Linked DNA regions of Bombyx mori. The main gene of each other region encodes a partner of the protein of the gene in region 2 in a complex. Links are inferred from orthologs where the notes say so. Each region holds a gene or a part of one and is shown on either strand. Other genes may lie near its edges. The genes, in order: protein TRC8 homolog and sterol regulatory element-binding protein cleavage-activating protein.

What was found.
Region 1: sterol regulatory element-binding protein cleavage-activating protein (region 2) and protein TRC8 homolog share a complex: the UniProt entries of both Homo sapiens proteins name them as parts of the SCAP-SREBP complex. The link is inferred for Bombyx mori from reciprocal best matches to the Homo sapiens genes SCAP and RNF139.

Annotation. Positions count from the first base shown.
Region 1 is NC_085132.1:9,862,369-9,866,997, forward strand, and holds the start of protein TRC8 homolog, read left to right. Parts: upstream 1-1,751; 5' UTR 1,752-2,065; coding exon 2,066-2,309; intron 2,310-4,629. UniProt on the Homo sapiens protein: E3-ubiquitin ligase; acts as a negative regulator of cell proliferation through mechanisms involving G2/M arrest and cell death.
Region 2 is NC_085107.1:13,849,419-13,853,252, reverse strand, and holds part of sterol regulatory element-binding protein cleavage-activating protein, read left to right. Parts: intron 1-197; coding exon 198-366; intron 367-1,952; coding exon 1,953-2,066; intron 2,067-3,234; coding exon 3,235-3,344; intron 3,345-3,834. UniProt on the Homo sapiens protein: Escort protein required for cholesterol as well as lipid homeostasis.

The DNA.
Region 1 (4,629 bases), on a different chromosome or scaffold from region 2:
GAACTTTCACGAACTAGCTTTGAGATTGAGCTTTGCAGGCGGCAACATTCATTACGTGAACATAATCATTGTGTTAAAGAAATGTAAGCACCTTCAGTTAGGTATTAAAATTAAGTTACGTTTAATGCAATGTTACTTGTCCTAGGATTAGATGGCAGGCCGTAAGACGTCTAGTAGGTACCACCACCCTGGTTGTTCCAGCGGCGTAGAAGTAATATGTTCCAGTTCGAAGGGCGGGGCAGCCATTGTACTATAGAACTGAGATTTACCATAGAACTCGGTTCTTAAGGTGTTTGAGGTTATTTAAATTAGTTATATCGTAGAATTTGTTACCATTTAACAATCAGATGGACTATGAGCTCGCTCACCCAATTTTAAGCAATTTAAAAAGCTATTATAATGGAACCAAATATCCGAACGTGCGACACCGCCCCAGCCGCCGCCTTGCCCCCCCGCTGAGACAGCTCTCGAGGAGAAAAAACACGCGCACTCGGCGCGCGCGACGTCGACCTACAAAATATTGTCAGTCTTAGTTTATCTGTACGGTTCTCAACTCATTTTGTAATATTTTAGTTTTTGTGTCGCTTTTATATTAAAACCTCATACAAATCAGTTGTAAACATTATTTCCATATCATCTTCGCAAACAGCCCGGAACACCGAACTCACAAAAGCCCCGCCAGTCGGACTTTTAGTGTTAAACTATGAAAATTACAATTGTTGTGTGCCTCTAATTAAAGATATTGTACGAGAACCTGAACAACAACTGATAACGAGAATATTAAAACTAACTTCGGTAAAAAAAAAAAGTTATTTTTGCAAGCTACCAGTTAGTTATAGGCCTGTCCTGGTGAAACTGGAAAGGCCTCCGGGCCAACAATAATCTTTCAATCATAAAAAAAAACATTTATCCAATTCAGCCGGCTCAGCACGTTTCTTAGCTTTTTTACTATTATTTTCTTTGCCTACGGCCAGACCATTAACCCTTGTGGTCACACATTTCCAACTTGTCAATTCTACATTTTGTGGCTGGAACTCAAGGCATTGATTTAGCTAATTTACCGGCACGATCTCTGGTCTCGAAGGGGAATGTAACGGTAGCTCTCAGATAATAATAACTTTAACTAATAATATAACTGGGAACAAATTACACAGTGTTATCCGGCCCCAATTTAAAGTTCCCTGTATTATGGGTACATGAGATTGATAAACTTAGTTAAATATCTTTCTTCTTTCTATCTAGTTCTGTCTTTCAATAGATACATATACAGATAATAAACACCCAGACAGTGCTATCAAACCTGTTCATCACACAATTTTTGCCCGATGTGGAAATCACCACCACCACTCACGGCGCAACGGTTAGGGGCGCAACTACTGCACGATCGAAATAGTAAAAAAACTCAGAGGATAATACACGATACTTCTCTAAAACCTGAATATCTCACAATATGTGTGCAGCATGTACTGTAGAAATCTACCTTCAAAAGGACTCATTCTCATTCTTTCAAACATTCGATGCAAGTTGTGTATGTTTCTCTTTTTAGAAACGCTTATCAACGAGTTTCACATCACAATAGTGTTAAAGACTAAGTAAGTAACTAAAACTAGACTAAATAATTAAAAAGATAAGAAACCTTGACGTGGCTCTTCTCTATCTTTTACAAGATAGAAGGGCCCTTATTTTGACCTACAATGTACTTTACAACTCAAAACCATAGTACATTTTCTCACAAAGAATATGACAACACTAAATTGTCTCTTTCATCGCTCTACTTAGGTTTCATTATCTATGGTTTTATTTACTTCGAAAATTTGGCAACAGGGCAACATCTAAATTTGTAACGTCAAATTTTTATTGTCGCAAATTTTCAGTCATTTTTTCGTATCAATTTACGTTTTTTTTTTTTAAAACAAGACGAATAAAGCACATCTTTATAAGTTCAATTTTATGTATTAAAATATATCTCAACTTGGTATAGTAGACGTATGCAGTGTGTAACAGATGCTTGTGTTGTATTTAAATTGTCAGTGATAACGTGTGTGACTTTCCGCTTAAATGAATAATGTCGCTGAGGTTGAAGGCCCTGGCACTAGTGGAGGTGCTACTGAGGGTGCCACCGTTGTTTGTGGTGGATGAGTTCCTTAAGATCAGCCTAGGGCTGCCCGTGTCCAGCGAGGAAGTGCCAGTATTGAGCAATGTCACAGTGGACCACGTCGATATATTGGAGCCAGATGTGAATTACTACGATGCTAACTTCTATAATGCATTTTTCGTCACTTTTTTCAAGTTCCTCGTTTGCTGTTCAGGTGAGAAAAATATTTATACATCATCAACACAACAAAATTATGTTAATCTTTTACAATAATTCAAAGTTCAATTAAAATTTTTGCGTAGTTTTATTTGGACTATAGTGTTACTGATAAGTGATTCTACTTATATGTATAAATCAAGAATTTTGATTTTAAAAGGTCTTGTAGTATTTTCTTCGGCTTTTGCGAGTCATAGAATCATAACTAACTTTATAGTTTAAACTCACATTTAATATTCTCATTATTTTTCCGACGCTTCGAATACTGTAAAGTTTTCATGATCAGGAATAACTCATCAAAGTAGACTTATTTACATTTTTACAAAAATAAACCAGTTGCAATAAGGAAAAATGAATGTTGTTGAAAAAGGGTACTTAAACCAAAATTCTTAGTATTTGAGAAATGTACCCAAAGTCCAAATTTCTGAAGGTGGACTGATATTTCAGAACAACAATTTAAGATCTTATTTTGTTCCATAGTTGTAATAGGTTTTTGGGCACCTCTAAAAACAAGCAAATTAGTTGCTGCAATACAATATTCATCATTATATTTTGACTTCATTCTCACAATGTAATAAACTGTGTTTATTATTGTTATTTATTGTGCATTTGAATTCTGATAGCCACTTAACACTAGATGGGTAATTTACTCATCTACTTATGTATGGCATAAGAAACTGATCTGCTTATTATGAAAATCAAACCATTATCCATACAGTTATTACTTATCAACAAGAATATACGCACAATGGTCAATTGCTACCACAATCAGCCTAATCAGAAAGTGTGTACCAAACATTTATAAGGTGGCAACTTGACAGGGGCAACTTTGTGTCAGCCATGTTTTAGTGTGAATTTTATATAAAAACATGTCACTCTGTAAATGAAATTGCCATGGAATATTAGGTTGTACTGACAACTATTTTATTCTTTAATTTTTTTTTCGTGTTTACTATATTTCACCCACATTCCTTTATGAAGAATATGGAGTCAGTAGGATCCAAAACTAAATTTACAAAAGGGATATAAACAAGTGATTTGTAATTTTGTATTAACGAGTACTTACTCTCTAGTGCTAAAGCTTCTGGAATAAAAACTTATATAGCAACATTGTGTTTTTGCATTGCCCTTGTAGGCAGACAACTATATGGTCCACTTGATGGTTAGTGGTTAGTCTTCCACGGATGTCAGCAATGCCAGGCAGAACCAAGCCGCTATCTACTGTTTAAAATTTACCAGTTTTTAAAACCAATTAATAAATTATTGAAATTTTACTGATCTAAAATTTAATGAAACACTAGTGATACTAACAAGATATAAACTTATATATCTATAGATTTTATAGCCTGTGAGAGAACAAGACATAATATTTCTGAAGCTTTAACTTCTACAGAAAAAAAACTCAAATCAGAAACGCCTTCATAACTTAAGCAAAATTACAGAGTAAACTATTGTCATTGTCTAATATACTACTTCGGACAGTGACATGATGAAACTTTAAGAGCATTTAAGAGATTACAAAAACAATTCGTAATTGCAAGAAAAGGACAGCAATACATCACAATTTTCATCAAAAACTTAACTGTTTTATCCCCATTAGACTTTGAGGTCACATCTCAAACTGGCTGCCAGTATTTACATGACATCTATTGGCAATCTATTTCATATAAAACTTGTTGGGACATTTACATGCTTAACATGTTAAACATCACTCCTATTCTTAAGGAAGTTCCCTGTGGAAATTGAATGGCATGCTAAAAACAATAACACAGACCAATAACCTCTAACTCCAAAAAAGTATGATTATCGTTTATTGAGTTATGATAAATATGCACCAAAATACAGTAGAACAACGGCCAGAAAAACAATTAAGCAAGTTGTTACATTTTATGTTCGGTTTTTTATGATAGGTTCATAAGTGTAAAGGATGAACATACTTTAATAAATTTGATTAAATCATTAATTAATGAATTTGAATAAATTTTCAATAGTATATTAAAGCATGTTAAACACTGTAAATCACTGGTGTTTGACATGGCCGTATCTGACAGACCAGCATCAGCCGTCGATGATTGAGCTCGTGCTTAACATGTTAAGCTTATTTCATAAAATACATAAACCTTGATAATTCATACCAAAAATAATGCTTGGAATCAACTACCTATAATATTGTCTTATCTTGACAAATTGCAAAAAAATATTGTCAAAATGACTAAGCGGTAAGTAGAAGTCAATGACATGTTTTCTTTTTGCTGTGTCATCGTCAAATTGTTCAGTTGTATTTGGAGACTGATGGATCTTAACAGTTAACATTCAAT
Region 2 (3,834 bases):
GAATAAGTAGGATAAAAAAAAACATATATTTTTTGTTTTTCTATAAACGATGGGCGTTAATCTGACAAACAGATTCACAGTGGGAGTCACATTTTTTTTTTATTATTTCAATATGTTACCTAATGAAAAATTATGAGTTAAGTTATCTAGGGCGAGCTGTATATGATCGGTTTAAGTGAGTGTGGGTAGTGATGTAGTGCGTGTGCGGGGGCGGCGAGGGCGTGACGCACGTGCGGGCGCTGGCGGGCGCGGCGCGGGTGTGTGCGGCCTCGCTCTCCGGGCACCTCACTCTGATGCGCCTCGACGCCTACAACAGTGCGTCGGGCGCCCATGTCGACTGGGGCTTCAGCACCGCGCACAGACGAAGTAAGCACCCGAGCTGAGAGAGAGAGAATACACTTTATTGCACACCAAAACACAATTTACATTCAAAAAACAGTCAAAAAGCAGATAGATTTGTACAATAGGCGGTCGTATCGCTTAAAGCGATCTCTTCCAGACAACCGTTTAATTTACAGAAATTCTGGAAAATATAAAAATATAGCAGCTATATTGCGGTGTACTAAATACATATATATACCATTTACATATAATATGAAATATATAGTTAACTGATTTATATACCAATATACATACTTACATACAATACATACTAATATACTTACATACACATAATAAATCAACAGTATGGAAATTATAAATGATAATGATGCAAACAAACAGCACTAAGCATATAAGTAGTGTTCCTTCACCATTCTTTTAAAACAGTTTAAAGTTGGAGCACTTCTCACTGCATCCGGCTACTCACTAATCGAACCGCCTGGACGGTGAATGAATTATCAAAGAATGTTGATGAATATATTAATATCGTCTTCGCTGATATATCGTCTTTTCGCATTGAAAGTGTATAATAAAAATATTCGAAATTGAGTTAATATGCGGAATCATTTGGTATAACCGGTATTTTTCTCATAAATACTGTCAAAAGAGCGTAGTATAGTTTTAGTTTTTTTTTTTTTTACTTTACCTATGTTTTGACTACTATTATTAAAATTAATATATCATTTTATCTTACTTAAAAGATAAATATTGATAGTGGTAAAAAAAAAAGAAAAATGTTGCAAAGATGATTAATATTAAAAATATCACATGTTAAACCTTTAAAATACTCTCCTGTAAAATTAGTAAGTTTTGAGATTATACAGTTTTAATGCGAGAAGACGAATATAACCACCTAACAGGAACGACTCGGAAAACTAAAGGCTCGCGCACATAGTTGGAATGGGGGGTTATTGCATAACAAAAATCCCACGTACTCCATTTTCGTGCATTTCATATGGACTATCGGACTGCAATATGCGCGAGCCTTCTGTCCTTTTGGAATTAATAATTTATTTTCGACCTTATCGTTTGAGTCTTTCCTGTTAACGTAACATATAATGTTGTTATTTTTTCTAAATATTACTAGCTTAGTTAAGGATGTCGTAATATAAATCTTGCTGCAAACGTTGAGATTATATCTTCATTGCATCAATATAACCAATAAATATAGTTCACTTCCAGATAGTGTAGATGAGATTTGACAATATACAGTTTGTAGTCTGTAGCTGTGTGTATTTAAATTTTAGTTGGTTCAAATAGTTTTAAATTACTAAGTTTTATTATTCAATATGGCTTTTTTTTTTTTTGAAATATTATTAAACTGTGCCACTTACAAAATGATCATATAATTTATACAAAATTGGTGCAGAATGAAGCAACATTTACTTTTGTGATTCATATTATTTTGACGAATAGCTCATTTATTTTTATTTATTTGCCAAGAATAACAAATACGTTTGCTTGAATTAAGTCGTAAATCTGTATTTGTGGGCTGCTTGGGATGTGAACGTAAAAAAGCACAGAGTATTTTTTTTTTAATTAACGTCAATGTCTTATTAATTATCTCACAGCGCACAAGCGGAACGGTTCGACCGGCTCGTTACAGACGAGCTTCGGCGTGAACGACGAAAGCTCCCGATACAGAACTAATTTCACCTACAAAAGCGATCCTAATGACGGAGAAGGTACGAATTGCATTCGATCGAACTTTAGTCAATAATGTATTTATTATACGCGGTGAACTTACCCTGCCGTTATTAACGAAAATATAAACTGTCTCGAAATTTGAATTTGTAATTCAAAAAGAATGAAAGACGCTTCATTTTCCCGGGATAATAGTACATTGTTTACCAAGGGAGAAAAGTAGGACATTCCTTCCCAGGATGAAATGTCCTACTTTTTTCCCGCGTTGCACATACTATTTTTTCTCCTACTAGACCTAAAGTTTGTGGAGTACCGAGCCGGGGTCCAGGGGCGAAGCCCCGGTGGGGTTTAATTTTTAAATAAACTACTACTAATTGAATAAGAACTGTCTAATAAACTCATCTTTGTTTAATACTTCACTATTAAAATTTATTGCCTTTTGTTTATTTCACTTTTACACTAAACAATATTGCAAATTACCCTAGCACAACAATGGCGGAAAATTCTAAGTGCATGAGAGTAGATGTAGACACTAACGCGCATGCGCACTTGTACCCAGGGAGGAAAAGTTACACTTTCTTCCCTGTACGGCGGGAGGAAAAGTTAGACTTTCTTCCCTGTACAGCTGGAGGAAAACCGAACTTTCGGCGTAGGTAGGATAAAAAAGAGTTGATTTTGTCGCTCTTTGTTCCGTAAACTACCATTCGATTTGTAGATCTGTTCGTACGTACGTAATCACGAACCATGGAACAAACTGTCGTATTTTAATACGTTTTTATTAGCTTCAGACGTATGTATGTTAGTATGTAATGGAATCTTTGAACATGATTTTGACCCCCTTCAAAAAGGCGGATTAACTTGAAATTTGGTATACTTATTAAGGACCGATGACAATTCAATATTTAAAAAAAGAAAAATGAAAAAAATTAAATATGAAAACATTAAATTCAGCTAAAAAATTAAACATAAATAATAGTTTAAAAAAACTAACAAAATACGTTTTTATAGAAAATCCAACTAAAAAATAGAAAATAAATTTTAATAAATTTGAATTAAAAATAGTATAAATATTTTATATATAAAAAAGTATTTTATGAACAGATATGAGCAGAGGGGTTGTTTTGATTATATCTAGTATAACTTAAACAGTGATGTTTCCTGTCTTTTATTTTTATAATCGAGTTAAATTATTTTATTATTAATTCATAGAGGTGGTGTGCGTTCGAATAGCGCAGTGCAGGCCTCATCAGCAGCCTGTTACTGAGATGCACTCGGAAGGCGGTCGCATCTTAACCGGAGGTCAGGATCACGTGGTCAAGGTAAAACAATAATAATAATAAATAATAAGCGTAAGGCCTTGTCCGCACTGCGTAATTCCGTAACACATTTAATCCTATAGGAGTAGCCGCACTGACGGTTAAAAAAAACGTACGAGAAAAAAATCTGTGATTAAGGCCTTGTCCGCACAGCGATATTTCACCGCGCGTTTTTTTTCTCGTAATTCTGTAACACATTTAATATTATAGGAGTATCCGGAGCAAAAAAAATCGCGCGGGAAAAAAATCTGTGACTTATGCAAATTGAACGCGAAGCGGTGCGATTTATTTCCGCGCGAATATTTTGTACCGTATAAAGTAAGTATGGCTATGTTCGCACTGTGGAATAAAATTCGAATAAAATTAGTTCGGTTGTCCATTTTACACGTGCGTCTCAGCCGAAAACTGAATTAAACTAACAAAAATATTACTAAATTTTATTCGCAGTGCGTACTAGGTGTAATTCCGATCGCGGAATTTAATACGCGATAAT